Drosophila melanogaster: one gene and its partners. The gene in region 1 interacts genetically with each later gene. Each region holds a gene or a part of one and is shown in the gene's direction. Other genes may lie near its edges.

The links.
Region 2: of ptc (region 1) and Uvrag, changing one enhances a phenotype caused by changing the other (phenotypic enhancement), as found in Drosophila melanogaster (one study listed by BioGRID).
Region 3: of ptc (region 1) and en, changing one suppresses a phenotype caused by changing the other (phenotypic suppression), as found in Drosophila melanogaster (one study listed by BioGRID).
Region 4: of ptc (region 1) and l(1)sc, changing one enhances a phenotype caused by changing the other (phenotypic enhancement), as found in Drosophila melanogaster (one study listed by BioGRID).

What each region holds. Positions count from the first base shown.
Region 1 is NT_033778.4:8,647,768-8,652,692, forward strand, and holds the start of ptc (patched), read left to right. Parts: upstream 1-1,881; 5' UTR 1,882-2,654; coding exon 2,655-2,783; intron 2,784-2,929; exon of another isoform or gene 2,930-3,286; intron 3,287-3,483; exon of another isoform or gene 3,484-3,729; intron 3,730-4,925. UniProt on the Drosophila melanogaster protein: Segmentation polarity protein. Acts as a receptor for the hedgehog protein (hh). Associates with the smoothened protein (SMO) to transduce the hedgehog signal leading to the activation of wingless, decapentaplegic and patched itself.
Region 2 is NT_033779.5:13,285,034-13,290,086, forward strand, and holds Uvrag (UV-resistance associated gene), read left to right. Parts: upstream 1-1,743; 5' UTR 1,744-1,906; coding exon 1,907-2,280; intron 2,281-2,340; coding exon 2,341-3,208; intron 3,209-3,268; exon of another isoform or gene 3,269-3,271; coding exon 3,272-3,594; intron 3,595-3,618; exon of another isoform or gene 3,619-3,646; coding exon 3,647-4,057; intron 4,058-4,142; coding exon 4,143-4,257; 3' UTR 4,258-4,523; downstream 4,524-5,053. Other genes in the region: Drep4 (DNA fragmentation factor-related protein 4), read right to left, coding at 1-607, 662-785, 1,137-1,376. UniProt on the Drosophila melanogaster protein: Involved in biosynthetic vesicle transport to lysosomes. Acts as a cell growth regulator. Also has a crucial role in controlling organ rotation by regulating membrane-localized Notch receptor endocytosis and subsequent degradation.
Region 3 is NT_033778.4:11,523,478-11,529,836, reverse strand, and holds en (engrailed), read left to right. Parts: upstream 1-1,626; 5' UTR 1,627-2,166; coding exon 2,167-3,478; intron 3,479-4,611; coding exon 4,612-4,709; intron 4,710-4,989; coding exon 4,990-5,238; 3' UTR 5,239-5,831; downstream 5,832-6,359. UniProt on the Drosophila melanogaster protein: This protein specifies the body segmentation pattern. It is required for the development of the central nervous system. Transcriptional regulator that represses activated promoters. Wg signaling operates by inactivating the SGG repression of EN autoactivation.
Region 4 is NC_004354.4:408,012-411,325, forward strand, and holds l(1)sc (lethal of scute), read left to right. Parts: upstream 1-1,709; 5' UTR 1,710-1,784; coding exon 1,785-2,558; 3' UTR 2,559-2,806; downstream 2,807-3,314. UniProt on the Drosophila melanogaster protein: AS-C proteins are involved in the determination of the neuronal precursors in the peripheral nervous system and the central nervous system.

The sequences.
Region 1 (4,925 bases):
GGGGAGAGCGAAATAAAGCTAAAATATGCATGTTGGAGAAAAAATGCCGCCCATGTCGCCAAAATGCGCCACACGCAGAGTGAGCGGGCGGAGGTGGGAGTAATGGAAAGGGCGATGAGGGAACGATTAGCTTGAAGAGAGAGAACAACAAATGAATGTGCTGCAACGTTAGTTCAGGTGAGCGAGTTAGAGAGAGAGTTGTTGTTTTTTGATTGTAATAGCTCGCTTGGTGGTGGGTCCACATTCACATCTCCCTCTCCCACTCTTTCTCCCCGAAAGAGAGAGCGGGAGCGAAGGGGCACGAGGGGAGCACGATGACTATGCAGTTGCATTCAATTTGAATTTCCATGGTGCTGATGATTCGAGCGCCAATTTTTTCGAAGAGTTCTTATTTGTTTACTTCGTTGTTGTTGCCTCAATTGGAAAGGGAAAATGTGGAATGCGGAGAAACACCAGAAGCAAATGCATTTCCATTCATAAATCCAAAGAAGTTTTAAAGATAACATGTCATTTGGCTTAAGTTCGTGGTGCACAAAAAAGATCGGTTTGCGGTTGTCGCATGAAAATGAGTTTATTCCATTGGTATATTATTATTCAGAAATTAAAAAAAAACTTGTTTAGTCTATTTTTTTTTTTTAAATAAAAAAAAAAAATTCTTTTATAAGTCGATTTTAGAGTAAATATTTAAAGACTACGTCTAATAAACATATAATTTGTTCTGTGTTTTAATTTGCCGGCAAAAACAAACCTACTTGTGTGGTCCTCGCACACTCATAACCCCTCGCATATTTGAGATTCATGGGGCAAAGAGGCTGCAAAAACAATGGAAAGGGAAAAGCAGAAACATCCTGCCGCTCATAATTTAGCATCGGAACATGCAAAAACAGACATCATCGCATGGGGCAGCAGCAACAGCCATAAAACCAACAACACGAGCAATGTAAAGCTAACAAATTTGCCAACAGTTCGCGGCACGGCTACACACACACACATGCATGCGCAGCCTGCCACGCACGCGCTTCCCCCAAACAAATACACACACACACACTGAGACGAAAGCTCCATTGGGCAGCGCTGCCGACGCTGAAGGCCGACATCGGCAGAGCTGAACGTTTGGGTAGGGGACCACCCACATCGCTTGGCGGTTTCAGTTTAATGAAGGCAGAAACAAATTTATTTTTGGGTGGTCCACACTGCAGCGAAAATAAACTACAGTGGCAACAACAAACCAGCAGCCAAGGCACTTTGGGTGGTCCATGCAAAAAAAAAACAAATTACGGCATGCGAATAACAATAGAAATTAGCGCTCTCGTGGCGGAGCTATTTGGGTATATTAGAGCTACATATTTTATTTGTTTATAAAAAGTATAAATGTAAACAATGAGTTCCAAGCATTAAGTCCGTATGCTCAACAATTACATTATCATTATTATTATCACTTAAATATTTACAAAGGATATTTAAACAGTAATAGATATATATTTTATTTCTTAATTTCTGTTAACATATGTATTTACATTGGTAGTTATTCTTTATTTTGCAACAAGCATTCATAAATTTTATATAACAAACTTGGTATTTTCTCGGAAAAACTCCTGAATCACCCCTCGGTATTTTGTGCGTTGAGCTATCGTTAAAGCAGCCCTCGCAGAGAGCGTTCTCAAACCAAAATGGCCGCACACGAAACAAGAGAGCGAGTGAGAGTAGGGAGAGCGTCTGTGTTGTGTGTTGAGTGTCGCCCACGCACACAGGCGCAAAACAGTGCACACAGACGCCCGCTGGGCAAGAGAGAGTGAGAGAGAGAAACAGCGGCGCGCGCTCGCCTAATGAAGTTGTTGGCCTGGCTGGCGTGCCGCATCCACGAGATACAGATACATCTCTCAGACTGCGTGCGATCCTCGAACGAAACGGTTGTAAGTGCGGAGCGCGACGACTTGTTATTCGTATTTCCGACTACTGGCACTCTCTGTGTGTGGTATACTAACAAGATAGATATCACAGAACTCGTGGAAAAGCTAAGATATTGTACCTCACGGATGCGAGGCGAAGTTCATGGATTAAATGCCAGGCAACAACAAAAGCCAGCCAACCAGCCAGTGTTTGTGTGTGTGCGTCGCCAAGTGCAAAGTAAAGTAAAGGTAAAAGAGCGAAAGGCGAGAGAGAAAACCGAATACGTGAGTCGTCCGACTGCCGCTTTTCCATGTGTAAAAGATCTGTGAAAATTCTGTCAAATTCCCCTGAGAAATTGTGCCCAAGATAAAACCCGAAAACCGCGTTTTAATCGTCGAAAAAACCCAGCAAAAGCGAAGCCAGCAATCACAACAAAACAACACAACGAGAGCTCAGATACACAGCGTGCTCAGTGAGTGAGCGAGAGAGCGCGGGAGAGAGCGTCTCTTGATTTAAAATACAAAATAATTAAAAATAAAAATGCGGAATGCAGTGCAAAATGCAGCCAAACAAAATACGAGATTCCAATAACAATTAATCGAACCGAAAGTCCACGAACAATCCGCACACTGTCTCCCAAGTCTCAGTTCTCAGGACGCAGACGAACGGCAGGCACTGTAGAAAGACCGATTCCGCAGCACACTCCCATCTGCACATCTCCGCCACGCGATTCCGTCCGGAATCTGGCTATAAACATAACCATAATGGACCGCGACAGCCTCCCACGCGTTCCGGACACACACGGCGATGTGGTCGATGAGAAATTATTCTCGGATCTTTACATACGCACCAGCTGGGTGGACGCCCAAGTGGCGCTCGATCAGATAGATAAGGTGAGTGCCCAACTACAGTGAACTTTCACTGTGAAGGATAGCCATGTGTTGAATTCAATAATATTCTTGAATCGTATTCGGAGGATCCTTTATAAGTTTAAATGGAAAATCTGGCTCTTTCGAAACTTTTGTTAGTAATCCCTTTTACTTTAAATTAAGCAAAAGATTTGAAGTATTAAGTAAATTTACAATCTTTTTAAAATTTGAAATTGTTATATTGTACAATTCTTGTCATTAGAATATTGAGACACTTAACTAAAAACCATGATGTAGAAGTTCGACTGTAAATCCGAAGAGCAGCGGCTTTTGTTTAATGCGGCCATTAAGTCGCCGGGACAGATTTCAATAAATTTTATTGCCAATATCTCTCGCAATATTTTTCGCGTTTTTTTCGTCGCCGATGTCTTCTTCGCCGGTCGTTTCGATTTCATTTCATTCGTTTCGTTTTCTTTCGTTCGATTCCCTGGTTAATATAGTTGTCTGATGTTCGCTTGCCAGGCAGCCTATTAATTACAGTGATTAGTTGAAATCCACGCCAATCGGCTTATATGCTAATTTTGCTATTTCGTTCTCTGGACATAAAAAGCGTGGAGGATTTACCTCCAAATATAGACATTTGTTTATGAAACTATTCGCCGTAAAAGTAGACGGAATAACCCTTTCGCTGCAGTCTAAAACTACAACAAATTGGATGTTTTACCAATCTTGTTAGTATTTATTCTCTGTGCACCGCCATCAATCCACATCTATTTTCGCTGCGCAGACGTAGACACACAGCAGGACTTTCGTACTCGTTTCGCCGATCCCAAACCGACCGATCCAACTCCAGACGGACATATCCACAGACAACTTCATTACTTTGGCGCTACTGTGCGCGGCTGGTCCGAAACCGCAAACCGAACAATAACAACTGCAACTGCAACTGCGGCGAGCGCCAAAAACAGCTAGGCAAAAACTGGGCAGCAGCAGCAGCAGGAGTTCCGTCCAGCAGTCGAAAGCAGCCGAAAAGGCAAAAAGCAGAAAGCTTTGGCAGCCGCAGCAAAAATAATAAACAACGCCAGCAACAACTTGCCCAGCATTCTGCTGGTGTGGGTTCGTATCTGTGTGTGTGGTTGTGTGTTGCCTTCCAACATGGGTGGGCGCCGAGGTCTCCGCGAGAGTCATTTCGTACGTGATGCTGCTGGCTGGACTGCCATTGGCCACCCCCTTCCAGCCGCTCTTTTCGGAGCCGCCCCACCCCTCCATCGCCCCAATGCCCCACCGCCCCAGTCAACGCTCCTCAGATGCTCTGTGATACGAGTTGTGGGGCGACTTCGGTTGGGAATTCTTCGCAGATTGATTAGAAGCATGCGTGACGTAATGAGTAATCTATATAATTTCGAAACAATTTGCTTTTTGGCTCTGCACTATGAGATTGATTAGCAAGCGTTTAGTCTAATTAAATGTCAATAAATGAAGGGCGCACATATTTTCATTACTATTTATATAGATTTTTTTTTATTGATCTTGAAGGTATAGTTCAGAAGGTAATATTTCCAATATAGTTGTGAACTCTAAAAAGAGCAGCATGCAGTCTTATATCCATTTTCGTTGCCAAAAGCATTTCAGTTTGCTGCTGTTATTCCCACCCATGCAAATGAAGCAGCCAGTGATCGTTTTTCGGGTTGGGATCGGGCCATTGAATGCGGGTGGCCCAAAAAGCGGAAAAAAAGAAAAGAGCCAAGGAAAAAATTTTACTGACGCACGCGCTTTGTTGTTGCTGACTCTGCTCGCGCAGTGACTTCCAAACTGTGCTACACTGAAAAAGAAACAACCGTTTACAAATAATAACGCTTACATGGCAAAAGTAAGAATTGATTTCCAGACAGAATTGATTTCCTAGTTAAACTTGCGAACTTTACGATAGTTTATCCTTAGGGTTAGTAACATATTTCAAAGATGGAAGTGCAGTAAACATTTTGAGGAAAACTCAGTTTTTCTGTGTGGACCGCCTCAAGTTTTCTCGCTGCTTCGCTGATGCTTTTTACAGCTTGATGTCTTCATCATTGTTGCAGTTGCAGTTCCTTGGCGACCGCGTGGCGTGTCTTGCTCTGTTGTTGTTCCCCCTCATTCCCCCGCCCCATCTCGTTTCCCCATCGAGTT
Region 2 (5,053 bases), on another chromosome or scaffold:
TTCTCCGAATAGGAGCCCTGGCAATAGAAGTCACCCAAGTCGGAGCACAAGGAAGTGGACCATTCGTCGAGGATGCAGTTTTCCTTGGTGTACTCCCTAATCACCTGCCTCAGTCTCTTGCTGGGTATCCTGCCAGCGTCTGTTTCCTCGTCGCCCAAGTGCTGCTTCAGGAATTCATGCTTTTGCTTGCAATTCCGGTCAAACATCATGGAGAAAAAGTCGCAACCGATGAGCAGGTATCGAAACTTCTCCAGCACAGAGTTTATCACTTGTCGGGCCTTGGCATTTTGGCGGTACAAGGGATTGCGGGTCAGCTCCTCCTTGGCCTTATAGTAGTAGCCTCGCACACGTGTCTGGGCACGTGTGGCCATAGCTTCCTCCTTAGAGTGGAAGCGCTCCTCGCCGCCCGTGAACCACTCCACGTGCTCGGCCTTTAAGCTGAGGTGGGTCTTGCTGTTATCCAGGACGCGTCGCTGCTTTTGGTGTTCATACTCCGTTATCATGCGGCGGAACTTTTCCGGATGCTGTTCGATAAAATCGTAGAAAATGTCAGCCACCTTTAGCAAAGGCGATTGTTGTCGCATCTTCTCAAACTCAAAATCGGCATCTAATAGAAGACAGATTAATTGTGATTAAGTTAAATATTTAAACTGCAGCTCACCTGTTGTAATGACTGCATCCGGGCCAGACACTATGAACAGCGTCTGGGCGGGTAGGCTTTTTAAGTACTCATCGTCGGACACCTCGAAGCCATCAGAAGCCAAATACAAATGTGGCTCGAGAAGCTAAAAGGTAAAAAAAAAACGATTTAATTGTAATGCCCTTGACATGGCCGAATTATAACGAGGCCAGGTCGCCCAATTCCTGGTTCAGGGGCCTTCAGTTTGTTTCACATTTCTCTTTTTTTTTTTTTGCCAGGCAAGGACGTTCCATCAACAGGTGGTTAGCTCTACTATACAGGACATGCGCATTGGCATTTACTAGTGGCATTGAAAGAGAGCCAAACAAACGCGGAAGCCACTGCCAGGGACATGGCCTTGAAAATTACCAGAGCCAGGAACTTTCAGCCCATCTACGTGGGTGGGTGTATATTTCGCGCTTTTACGCAGGAGTTTTTCCTGTTTTTTTTTTCTTACCGGGAACTTGCTTTTTGCCTTGGCTATCAGCATTTCCAGGGAATTGGCTCCGATTCCGTATTTCCTCGTTCGCTCGTTGTCAGTAACCTTGTAGCCACGCATTGGAGCACCTGCTGTTCCCCTGGATTCGGATGAGCTCACATCCTTGAGAACTTCGCCTGTTGGCTGGCTGCTTTTCTTGTTATTCGAGCTGCTGCGTGTTGTCGGTGACATGATTGCATCTCTAATGTAGCTGATCATCGTTCTGGCTCATAATAAAGTCAACTTTGGAATGTAGTCCTCGCAGCAAGTTTCCTTATCCGCGGACAAAGCAAAATAAACTAGCAGAACAAGGCATTTTTCGCGCTTCTCAACACTAGATTCTCATTGAAAGATTCTTTAGTTGTGCTGCAATTTTAGCTAAAAATTGCAAAAAGCTATATAATAATAATTTATTTTTTCCCGTGTTTTGTAATTAACGAAATATTTTTTATATTTTTATTAATCAATTCAAATTGATAAAATTTTCATTTATTCTTAAATTAAATAATGTGTAAATTAATAAAATGAAAATAGCCAAATTAATAAAATACAAGTTGAACGGCGCATTTCCCACCACTATTGCCTTCAGTGTTTTGCAGCACTTATGCATCTAAAAACAGCTGTTCGGGTAATCATTTTTTTTGTTAAAAGTTTCTGTGGAAAAACTATAACAAACGTAGTCTTAGTGTACAATGATCTGGGCTACGGGCTCCGCGTAATCCGCAGCTCACCCGGAAAGGCGTTTTACGATGAATCTACGGCCGCGATGCCGCAAGTGGCTGCCCCTAGCCACCCAGCAACTTCGACTGCGGAACCTTAACAGAATTCAGGGATTCAATATTGAGTCCTGGCCGCATGAGAAGTCGCTGGAGCTAGATGATCCGGATGATGTGCTCCTCTACTACACACTACACACGGACAAGGCTAGCGAAGCGTTCTACACCAGCGAAAAGCTGCCGCAGCGTCACCAACAGCAAAAGTGGGCGGAGATTTGTACGGACGACGAGGCCTGGCGGAAAACCAATGCGCAGTGTGTCTGTGTCAAGGTGTGGAAGCACTATTCGGCGGAAAGAAGAGATGGCCAACCGCCTGAGGTTGAGCAAAGACATAAGGATGTTTTCGGGTAAATAGGAGACTTTGCTTGCAAATAGAACTCTGCTATCATCAACCAACTTACTTCCAGAAGATCCCAGTTAACGCCCAGCAGGCTGCCACGCCCTCCTGAACTACTGTTCAGCTGGGGCGTCTACTTCTCCGGCCTTATACCTCTGTCTCCCCTCACATTGTCCCAGTGCGGACGAAATTGCTTGGTCTTTCAATTGAATGGCGAGCAATTTGCCTCCCCGTCGATGATAAGCGAGCAGGCCTTGCAGTCGCAGCTGCATTTGCACTACCAAAAGTATGCGGAGGAAGAGAAACTAGAAGAGCCGCAGGATGAGGGCATAAACTCGCCGGCCGTTAGTCGTAGTTCGAGTCCCGTGCTGCGAATGAGTACGATGCGCTATGCACAGCTGAAGTGCCAACGGCAGGAGATTCGGCGAAGCAACAACCTCGAAAAGCTTCTCACGTTGCAACGTCTGCAACGCTTGCATCAGCAGAAGCGGCGTCAAATGGCCGAGGTTTGCCGAGAAATAGCCCGCCTCAGTGTACACTGTGTGACCAGGAACGAGCTGCGCTTGAAGCCCCGCACGACATCGCTGTCCGGCGACTACTCCGCCCATCAGTACCATTCCATGGGCCGCGCCCTGAGCGTGTTGCTCGCCGAGCAGCAGCAGATCGCGCCCCTCACGCTTTATAATGCCCAGCAGCTAACTAGAAGGATAGAAGCGCTAAGCAGTCAACAGCGGCTACTTAAAGCGGAGCGGGAAACGTTTCGCCAACGAAACGAGCGCACCCGTCAACTTCTGAAGGAGATGAGAGAACAGCGGGAGGCACAGCAATGGGAGCTCCACAGCCAGCGACATCGACTGGAAAAAGAACGTCTGGAGCTACGAACCCTGGCACCTCAACATCTGGAACAGCGCGATCAAAAAAGACAAATAGAACGGCAGGTGGGGCTGCGGAATCAAATAACATTAAACAAGTATATTAATAAACCTTTTCACCCTTTTAAGGTGGAGCGCCGAATGTCCACACTGGTGTTGGAGCTACAGGAGATCTATAACATCCAGAATGTGGGCGGTCGGCAATTTAGTATCTGCGGCATCGCCTTCCCCCACATGGAGCAATACACGAGCGAGTCACGTCAGGCGGCAAACGCACAGCTTCTGGATAACGTCTCGCCGCTGGCAGTGAGTGCGGCACTGGGTTATGTTGCCCATTTGGTGCAGATGTTAGCCATCATTATGGATCGACCTCTGAGGAACCGTATTCTGTACGAGCCATCGAAAGCAAGGATAGTGGACGATATCAAAGAGTTGACGTACACAACAAGAGAGTAAGCACACAGACTAAATATTACCTTTTGGTATCTTATTGTTCCATCTTAGATTTCCTCTGTATACACGCTCCATTTTGCCGTCGCAGCAAACAAAGTATGCCATCTACCTTTTGCGCCAGAATGTTTCGCAGCTGTGCTTCGACATCACGGGCCAGTGCGATCTGCGAAACACTTTTGGCAATCTGCTGGAGCTATTCAGCACTCTTCGCTACATCGAACGAACGCAAAGGGATGAGGTCGACGAACGGGATGGAACTGCAGTTGGAGCTGGCTGTGGAGAAGCACGCTTGGCAAATGGGTTGACGGCGCCGCACCTGTCGCAATCGCACTCTTCGGTCGACATGAATCATGTGCCACTGCCGACTGGCGTCAATGCGGTCAAGGATGCACTGCTCCAGCAGCTGTTGCCGCCGGGTGTGAGTGAGGCACTGGCAATCGAAGGCTATGCGTCAACTCAACGGTAATCTATATATACATATATTTAGAGCCAAAAACAAAAACTACCGGATAAAATTTAATAATAATATATTGTAATATTCTTGCAGCATTTGCCGTTCGGTGGGGTCCTATTCAGATGGCGAGGATGAGTTTCGCCCGCGACTGGAGCATAACTATTCCAATTCGGACTCCAACATAACTCTGCAAACTGAGCGCAGCTGAGCTAATGCACCCAAAAGTGTTATATTTCCAGCGTTTATATCCAATATCCAAGATAGCATTGTTTAGCGGCTCCTCCTCAGCGGGTTTCTTGGTATTGGCCGCGTATTGTATACTTTTAAATTATAAAAGTCAATGGTGAAGTATATGTGAACGGTAGTCCATTGCGATAATATTATTTTTAGTTGTTTAAGATCTCTGTGTAAATTCCCTTTTATTGTTTGTTTGCTAATATAAGCTACGAATAAAGATTAAATATTTTATACATGACAAATATTTATTTAATATGGATGACAAACATTAGAAACACGTCGATAGAGATTAAGTCGAACAATATCCAAGGTCACAATAAACGAAGTGGTTACGATGCGGAAAACCTAAGCCTTTCTTCATATGTTCTGAAATAATGCTGAGCCCCAAAATTAGTTTATTTGTATATTCTGTTTGAAAAGTATTTTTATGAGTTTTAATTATAGTTTGAATTAGGCGCCAAAAAGTGTTGCAAAGTATGAAGATAAATTGCTCCTTTAACTTATAAAAATTATACCATGTGCTACTGTTACTACATAATATTGTACAATCTGCTTATATTAACTTTTGCTTTATAATTTAAAATGTAAGTTTTGCTTTAAATCCTTAATAAACTCAAAATATTACAGCCACTGCTTGGTCAGTGCTGCAAAACGTTCCGTTCCGTTAACAGTGGTCTGTAAAGCCAGCTGATTAGCATTTCGCCAAAATTATTTCGCTGGCAACTTGCTTCCGGGATTTGAATGTTTTTCGGGCTACATCCGGGCTA
Region 3 (6,359 bases), 2.9 Mb from region 1:
TCATGGCAATCAAAGCGGAAAGTGTGTAGGGGAATGGAACGGTGTGGAAGGGTGGAAGTTGAGCGGAAAATCAACAGCTGCCGACGGCAACAGCGGAATGTGTAAGAGGAAGATGGTCAAAGGGGGTGTGCGAGAGAGAGGCAGCAGCCATTGTTGTCATGCGTGAGAGAGCAGGGCAGAGTGAGCGAGAAGCGCACAGTGCGAGAGCGAGTGAGACAACTATCTATTCGAAGTTCGAAATTCAAAAGGGGAAATAGATTTGGCTCCGTTCCAGTTTCCAGTTTTTCCAACTTCGACTTTTAATGGCTGACCGCAGACTGGAAGGTGCGTTCGAACCGGTTAAGATCGAATCGAAACGGTTAAGACCACTCAACGGAATTTCAATTTATGCATCTGAGCTGTTCAAATATATTTATTAATTTATATTCGATTCAAGTCCATTTGATACTTATAAAAATGCGCATAAAAATTGAATAAATTTCGGCCCATTGATTGTGGAACAGGTTAACCACGAAATTTGCTCTAAATATGGATTATGGCTTATTGTTTGGGCGTTAGTTTGTTGGCGCGAATTGCTTATGTCACAATTGGCAACAGGAAATGTGGGAGTGTGAGTGGTGGCGAGATTACTCTCTAATTAAATCCTTTGCCCCATAAATCAGTAGCCCACATGGCAACGATCGCTTTTATTATGCAAAAATTAACACAACAAAATCTGCTAGCTATAAGGCAATTCATTAGCGATTTCGTTATTTGATTTCGGTTTTATTCACATCGAACAGATTCGTTGATTTATGAGCTATATATCAGTGGTTATATGTTCGGAATCCCACATCTATACACTATTTGCAGCACATGTTTCACATTTGTAGATCGTCGGTTGATTAGAGCCCCACAAAAAAGCGTTATTGTTAATGTCCAATGCCAAATGGCGTTCGTTTTTAACACCTTCTAAGGTTTATTTTGACAGTTAGCGATGGTTTTTCATTCGCTCGTCTGGCAAATCGATATTCGATGGGCAAATAAATAAATTAAATGTCAATTAAATATCAATCAATTTCGTCAGCTGTTTTTCAAGGCACATTTAACTGGTTAATTGAAGGCCTCAAAAATAAATTGTCATCGTGTATTTAGCGTATTTTTGTGAAAAATCGCAAATGATACTGGTGGTGGGAGTGGGGGTGATAAAAAGTTTCCCTTCATTTAAATTAAAACAATTAGCTTTGCGGTTTTTTTCCTCTCTTTCGATTCCCCCTCTACACATGGCCTAAAGGTGGTGTCGATAAAGTTGTAGGCTGTAGAAAACGCAGATTGAAACGTCGCGGCCGAAAACAAAATCAACAAAAACTAAATGCTTATGAAAAGTGTCTGTGGAAAGAGATGGCATGTGGCTCTCCCCCTCATGGAAAGGCAGCCATTTTCCTGGCCTACTCGCAGAGGGAGTGAACAGTGCCGCTATATGACCCCCACTCGGTAACGCCCCGTGAGAGAGGGAGAGCTTGCGCCTGCGCAGTTCGCTGGGGACACAGTTGTCAACCGGCTGACAGCTCCAGCATGCGCATAATAAAGTCATATTGCTGCCTAACAAGCCCCCCTCGCCAAATTGGCAAGAGAGAGTGAGAGCGAGAGGGAGCGAGCGAGAGAGCGCTCTGGCCAGCTAATAGGAGTGAGTGAGCCGGCGAAACCGGTTCGCATGGGGCAGGTGACAAGGCTAAGAGAGAGCGAAAATCGATCAGTGTAAGGCCGAAAAGACACATCTTCTACTCTCATCTCTTCATGTCACTGTCACCAACTGCTGTCACTCACTCACTCGCTCGCTCGCACACACTTCGCCAGCTACTTGTGGGATCTCGCCCTCTCGCTCCCGCACTCGGACCTCTCTTTCCACCGTGACAGTTCAATCGGCTCTCGCGTTAACTCTCCCCGACGTCGGCGCTGCGATTCCGAAGTAGTCAACTAATTCAGTCGTTGCGCTCGATGTGAACAGACGTGCGTGTCGGAACAACAGTTGCAAATCAAACACGAAAGCATAAGCCAAACAAAAAACACCAAACAGAGAAGAGAATCAGAAGATTCTGAGCAATCAGAAGAATCAGTGGCTCAGTGTCAAGTGACCCAGTGACAAGTGTCTTAAGCGAGTTGCGATTTAGCACCAAGTCGAAACCAATGGCCCTGGAGGATCGCTGCAGTCCACAGTCAGCGCCCAGCCCCATTACCCTACAAATGCAGCATCTTCACCACCAGCAACAGCAGCAGCAGCAACAGCAGCAGCAAATGCAGCACCTCCACCAGCTGCAGCAACTGCAGCAGTTGCACCAACAGCAACTGGCCGCCGGTGTCTTCCACCATCCGGCAATGGCCTTCGATGCCGCTGCAGCCGCCGCTGCTGCAGCTGCTGCTGCGGCCGCCCACGCTCATGCTGCTGCACTGCAGCAGCGCCTCAGTGGCAGTGGATCGCCCGCATCCTGCTCCACGCCCGCCTCGTCCACGCCGCTGACCATCAAGGAGGAGGAAAGCGACTCCGTGATCGGTGACATGAGTTTCCACAATCAGACGCACACCACCAACGAGGAGGAGGAGGCGGAGGAGGATGACGACATTGATGTGGATGTGGATGATACGTCGGCGGGCGGACGCCTGCCACCACCCGCCCACCAGCAGCAGTCGACGGCCAAGCCCTCGCTGGCCTTTTCCATCTCCAACATCCTGAGCGATCGTTTCGGAGATGTCCAGAAGCCGGGCAAGTCGATGGAGAACCAGGCCAGCATATTCCGCCCCTTCGAGGCGAGTCGTTCCCAGACTGCCACGCCCTCCGCCTTTACAAGAGTGGATCTGCTGGAGTTTAGCCGGCAACAGCAGGCTGCCGCCGCAGCCGCTACTGCGGCCATGATGCTGGAACGGGCCAACTTCCTTAACTGCTTCAATCCGGCTGCCTATCCCAGGATACACGAGGAAATCGTGCAGAGTCGGCTGCGCAGGAGTGCAGCCAATGCCGTCATCCCGCCGCCCATGAGCTCCAAGATGAGCGATGCCAATCCAGAGAAATCTGCTCTGGGATCCCTGTGCAAGGCGGTCTCGCAGATCGGACAACCTGCTGCCCCTACGATGACCCAACCTCCGCTGAGTAGCAGTGCCAGCAGCTTGGCCAGTCCGCCACCCGCCTCCAATGCCTCGACCATTAGCAGCACCTCTTCCGTGGCCACCAGCTCGAGCTCCTCCTCGTCGGGTTGCTCCTCGGCGGCCAGTTCCTTGAACTCCTCGCCCAGTAGCCGACTGGGAGCCAGTGGATCCGGAGTCAATGCCAGCAGTCCCCAGCCGCAGCCAATCCCGCCGCCATCCGCCGTTAGCCGAGATTCCGGAATGGAGTCCTCGGATGACACGCGTTCCGAGACGGGATCCACCACCACAGAGGGCGGCAAGAACGAGATGTGGCCCGCCTGGGTGTACTGCACCCGCTACAGCGATCGTCCCAGCTCAGGTTAGTATCTATGCGATTACCTAGCGTTTAAGTGGGTCAGAAAGAGGGTTCGTCGGGCACCATCTTCAGTGTTGTCAAAACAAGGAAGTCCCAAAGGTTCGTTAAAAAAAAAAAGATGTGAAAATGGTAAATGGTATATGGTTACATGGGGACCACCCTTGGGGAGCGTTATGTTGGCGGCAGCCTTTCAAGCAGCTCTGTTTTGTGTCATAAATCCGAAGGACACTGCCACAATTAGGCGACACGCGGACAATGGCAATGAGCCCGAATCTGACTCCCATTTCTATAACCATGCCCATTCCCATTCCCATTTCGTATCCGAATCCGAATCCGATTTTGGGCCTCACGCAGTGCTGCGCTGCTTTTGAAGAGCGACACTTTATGTGACAACATGTAGCGCAGAGCCAGCGCTTGTCTATCGGAACTGTTAGATCCTCAGGTCGAAGGTCACCGCTCACGCACACACGCCACGCAGAAGCCGAGACCCTAAAACGCGCTGACGATTGACAGGGGAAAAGTAGGTGCGGGGGAGATATGATGGCGGGGGAAGCCCCTTCGAAAGGAGAAGAGTTTTCCATTGACAAGCGGAGATTTTCCTTGCAGCTCTTCTTAGATCGTGTGTTAATTGACGAGTTAAGTGCTTTTTTATGGTCGGCAATGGTTTTTTAATTTGGTGTCGATGCAATCGATGGCAGCCCATAAGCGAGGCGTTGATGGCCCCACTCCGCGGCTAGGAATTAATCAAACGATCTCCACTTACTGGCGGTCAATTAAATTATAATTTACAATGTGTGGAAATCTAATAAGCACTACGGATTGCTGCGGTGCCGCGTTGCCAATTAGCCGGTGACTTGGACTTAGTCGCTAATTAGAGAGTTGGCTAGCTGGCAAATCATTTGCCTAAAATATGCCGTAGACCTTTGGGTTCGTTAACTCGCCGGAGTTCTACTCTTCTCTTGCGCTGACAGCTGACAAATTGAACACTTCCCCGCCAGCACGCGAAAGGGAGCTCCAGCTCCGGCCGAGGAATTCCGCCCAGACATATGCTAATTGAATCATTAATATTATTAATAGTATGTGGCGCATTTATGCAAATAGAACTAACGTATTTCTCGTGTTTTTGTTTATTCCAGGACCCCGCTACCGCCGCCCCAAACAGCCAAAGGACAAGACCAACGACGAGAAGCGTCCACGCACCGCGTTCTCCAGCGAGCAGTTGGCCCGCCTTAAGGTGAGATTCAGTTCTTTTTTCCATATATGGTTATATGGTTATACCAATATCCATCCATATCCATATCCAATTGCCCTACGCTTGTTGTGTCATATTTGCACCAAAATATTGACACCGCCCGCTGCTAATGCATCCTGGCAATGTGGTGTCCCGTCCGTACTTAACCAATCAGCCACGCTCGGCCGAAACCGCAAATAATTGATTTTCCCTACCTGACTATACAACATGGATATCCTTGCCATCCGAAACTCATCCAGCATTCCATTTCTTCCACTTACAGCGGGAGTTCAACGAGAATCGCTATCTGACCGAGCGGAGACGCCAGCAGCTGAGCAGCGAGTTGGGCCTGAACGAGGCGCAGATCAAGATCTGGTTCCAGAACAAGCGGGCCAAGATCAAGAAGTCGACGGGCTCCAAAAATCCGCTGGCACTGCAGCTGATGGCCCAGGGATTGTACAACCACACCACCGTGCCGCTGACCAAGGAGGAGGAGGAGCTCGAGATGCGCATGAACGGGCAGATCCCCTAAGCGCTGACCAATGGTTACCCATAAGGGGTTACTCCTTCTGACGGGGGCGTGCAATATTCGAGGGCGTACAAATGGTTTTCATGTGATATAATTGTAGCGTACATATGTTTTTGTATATATCTCTAAAAATATATATATATATACGTATAATCCTAACCTAGAGTAAGACCCATCCGTAGCGAATTCGAGCTGTAAGTTGTTGGCGTATTTATTTAACCACCCCTGGATAGCCGAAAGTATTATCGTAATCACCCGACACAAAGCCTATCGCTATCGCCGCACTTCAAAAGCTTCGACCTTCAGACGTTTATTCCTACACAAAACACTATCTATAGTTATTACTCCCTATAAATTACGCGCTTGCAACCGCTCTGTAAATTAAGTAACTTAACAGTTCCCTAGCTTAATTCCTAGTTTACACACTTAAGGATTGCTATGAAAGAGTATTTTAGTTTCTAAGCGAAATGTTAACGAGCAACTAATAGCTGGCAAATGCACCTAAGAAAATAACAACGAAATGTTTGTGCTAAAGCAAGTTCATGAAAAGAAAATTAAAAACAAAATAAAAGAATTATGGAAAAAAATTAAAATGCAATTGGTTTCCTCTGGGAATTGGAAGTCTGCTACATTAAAGGAAAATATGCCACCCATATATCGGAGGACATGCGGTCTAATCGGTGGCCTTATTTGTACTTTGTGTAGGGCGCCATTATCTTCTCTACGCTTTTTCATCTGTCACATCAAAGGCTATAGAACATTAAATCACGAACACTTGTCGTCGGGCGAGGGTGCCGCTAATTGCACAATCACATTCCGAACCAAAATCGGAGGCCGTCGACGAGTAACGGCAGCTCTTGCTCTTCGATTCCATTCCGTTTAATTAAAGCCAAATCCGCGCGTAGTATAAACAAATATCTGTGACGAGACAGAAGCCCAACAAACAGAAAGAAAAAAAAAAATGCAAAACTAAAGCGGCAGGGAGCAGTCATCAAATGATTTATTGGCACAGATCTCGCGGCGAGCGGCGTTAATTTGCTGAAAATAAATGCAAACGCGAAATGCAATGCAAAATTGTGGGAGGGGGCGGGATGAGCAGCTGACATTTACTGGCAAGCGTTGAT
Region 4 (3,314 bases), on another chromosome or scaffold:
ATTAGAAAACGAATTCGGTAGCAACTTTTAAAAACCAATTATTAGGTAAATGGTGTTTTTTTTTTTTTTTTTTTTTTGCTTTATTATGATTTTCAGCGTTCATTCTTGTGGGATCAATTTCCTCTAATTTTCTGATCTCCTTTAGGGCAGCTGCTTATGGCTTTTTTTAAGATTTTATGCATTTATGGGAGCAATCTCGTAACTCGACTTATCCGTCTTCGGTAACGGTATTGCCTTCCCATTGCAACAAAGTTGCAAGTTGCGAATCCAGAAATTTGTTTCAGATTCAGCTCCTTACAGATTTATGAATGCTTAATTTAATTGCAGGGGGATTGTTGGTAAACGGAATAACTTTACTTTCTTGGACTGGGCATAATAAGTCACAACCCTACAGCAAGCAGCAAATAAATAAAGACATAACATTTTTTAAAGCTTTTTGAAATACTAATTTGCTAGTCAAATAACATTTAAAGACCTTTTTTAATGCTTTTCGACATACTAATTTGATAATTTAGAACTAAACCTGATTATGAGTGATGTCTTGATATTAAAGCAACACAAATGCTTCATGCTTTAAAATCAAAACTGCCATTCGATTTTTAGAAGTATTCCACGAAATAATTATCTTTAAAAGAAAATATTTATTCAATAATGCAACACTATCAAAATATTTTCCCAAAAAAATATTTTAAATTGCATCGTAGCCTTAATACGATTTAATGAGTTATGCAAATTAATTGAATTCAGTTTTTGTTTGTTCATACAAGACATATATTAACCAGTCAGAAATATTACATTTTTTGTCGAGTGCACAGCCCAAATTTAGATCGCTTTCTTGTATCACAAGCGTTTGATGAAAGGGTAAGAGTGTTTCGACTGCAACTTTGATCCCAACTGCTGTCAATATTCAATGCCTTTGTGATGGTTTCGTTTTTATTTGTCTGGCCGTCCCCTTACTTATTATAGTACGCTTGGTATTCATGATACAGCACACACTTGTGGGATTTTGTCTGCGCCGCTCTGCGATGTTATGTATCATTGTTTTGAAGCTTATGCTAATGCACCGGACTGATCGGAAGCACGTGTCAAATGCAGATGGGTCAGAAAAAATATTAATGAAGGTTCATAACATTACAGGATATAAAAGTGGATACGCAGTTTTAAAGACAGTGAAAGTCCCACGACATGGTCTTTTAAGTTTGTTTCTTTTGCCTTCGCATCATTTTCTTTCATTTGATGGATCACATTTTATATCAAATTCCCTTCCAAGATCTCACTCTCCTTTATTTTTCGCTTTCAATGCAAACGACATTCGACAAAAGTGGAAGTGCATTCAAAATCTTTTTTTTTAGCCATGACAAGGATCTTGCAGATCTGAGATTTAAAATTTTCCCAAAAGGAAAAAATGCATTATGTAGACGGACACAAAGGACAAAGAGTGTGTGGGAGAGGGAAAAGGATGGGTAGGTAGGCACACAGAGACTGAGTAGGAATAGAGGCACCCACCACAGAAAAAGAACCCCTAGAAAGAGAGGAAAAATGTACGATCACTTGTGCAAAGGACTTAGGTCCCGGTTTTTCGAGGGCAGGTAGCCAGGATCCGACCCCGTACCAACCCCTGTAGCTCCTCTGCCGAAGTCGCTGCCTCTGTCGCGGCGCGTTTCCCTCTGCCACTGCCGGGTATTTAAAGCCCTAGATCAGAACAGCAATTATCATTGCGGAATCTGATTCCACACAGTCAACATCTGTAAACTAAATCTTAGAAAACTCTCGCAAGGATTACCATGACGAGCATTTGCAGCAGCAAATTCCAGCAGCAGCATTACCAGCTGACCAACAGTAACATTTTCTTGCTGCAACATCAGCATCACCATCAAACGCAGCAGCACCAGTTGATTGCTCCGAAAATACCTTTGGGTACCAGCCAACTGCAGAATATGCAGCAGAGTCAACAGTCCAATGTTGGACCCATGTTGTCCTCCCAGAAGAAGAAGTTCAACTACAATAACATGCCCTATGGCGAGCAATTGCCATCGGTAGCCAGACGAAATGCCCGTGAACGCAATCGCGTGAAGCAGGTGAACAATGGATTCGTCAATCTCCGCCAGCATTTGCCTCAAACTGTGGTAAACTCGCTGTCCAATGGAGGACGTGGTAGCAGCAAGAAGTTATCCAAGGTGGACACACTGCGAATCGCCGTTGAATATATTCGAGGACTACAGGACATGCTTGATGATGGCACTGCTTCATCAACTCGTCACATCTACAATTCCGCCGATGAAAGTAGCAACGATGGCAGCAGCTATAACGATTACAACGATAGTTTGGACAGTTCGCAACAGTTCTTGACGGGAGCCACCCAGTCTGCCCAATCCCACTCGTACCACTCCGCCTCGCCCACGCCGTCGTACTCCGGATCCGAGATTTCCGGAGGTGGCTATATCAAACAGGAACTACAAGAGCAGGACCTCAAATTCGACTCCTTTGATAGCTTCAGTGACGAGCAGCCAGATGACGAGGAGCTACTCGATTATATTTCATCTTGGCAAGAGCAGTGAAGGGGTCTTACTAAAAGTCCCAAACAAACAAATATTGTACAAACTGTAAATACCCTAAATTGTTGCCTTAGTGAGTGTAAAACCAAGTCTCAAATTTCACATTAGCCTCTAAGTTACCCCATATTTTTTTTTATTATATTTTAACGCAATGGAAGACATATTTTTTTCATAGTTATAAGTTTGTTATAAGCATGGAAGACACTAAACTAACTACTTTTAAGCCAAAATAAAAACATATTGATAAATTTAATTCCAAATGTTTTTTACTGAAATCACTTACTCGTAAATATATTCAGATCGTCATGTAGGGTAATTACAACGAGTTCTCGTTCTCATACCAGCATCAGAGCCAAAAAGGTTTTTAAACAATCTGCATTTTGAAGCATTGCTTTGACTATATATATGTTATGATATTCGTTTTTAATTTATGTATTTTTATATTATTATTATTATTTTTTAGCTTAGCTGTTTTGGCCTCAGGCTTAATAATGGTACTAGCGATAGAAATAATAATTTCACAAAAAAGTTACCCAATTTATTATTTATATTCAATTACTTTTGGAGCGTGGACATGACTCACTCAAAATTCGTAACCAACATAGAGTTAAGCACCTGACAGGAAACAACAGCGAATATTTTCATGATTGGTTCCCTAACGAGCTACAATTCGGCCGGGAATTGTTAATGGCGCGTAAATAGCCCGGAAATAGGCAGTCACGCCTGAGAGGATGAAATTGTCCTAGTCCAAGGATCAGT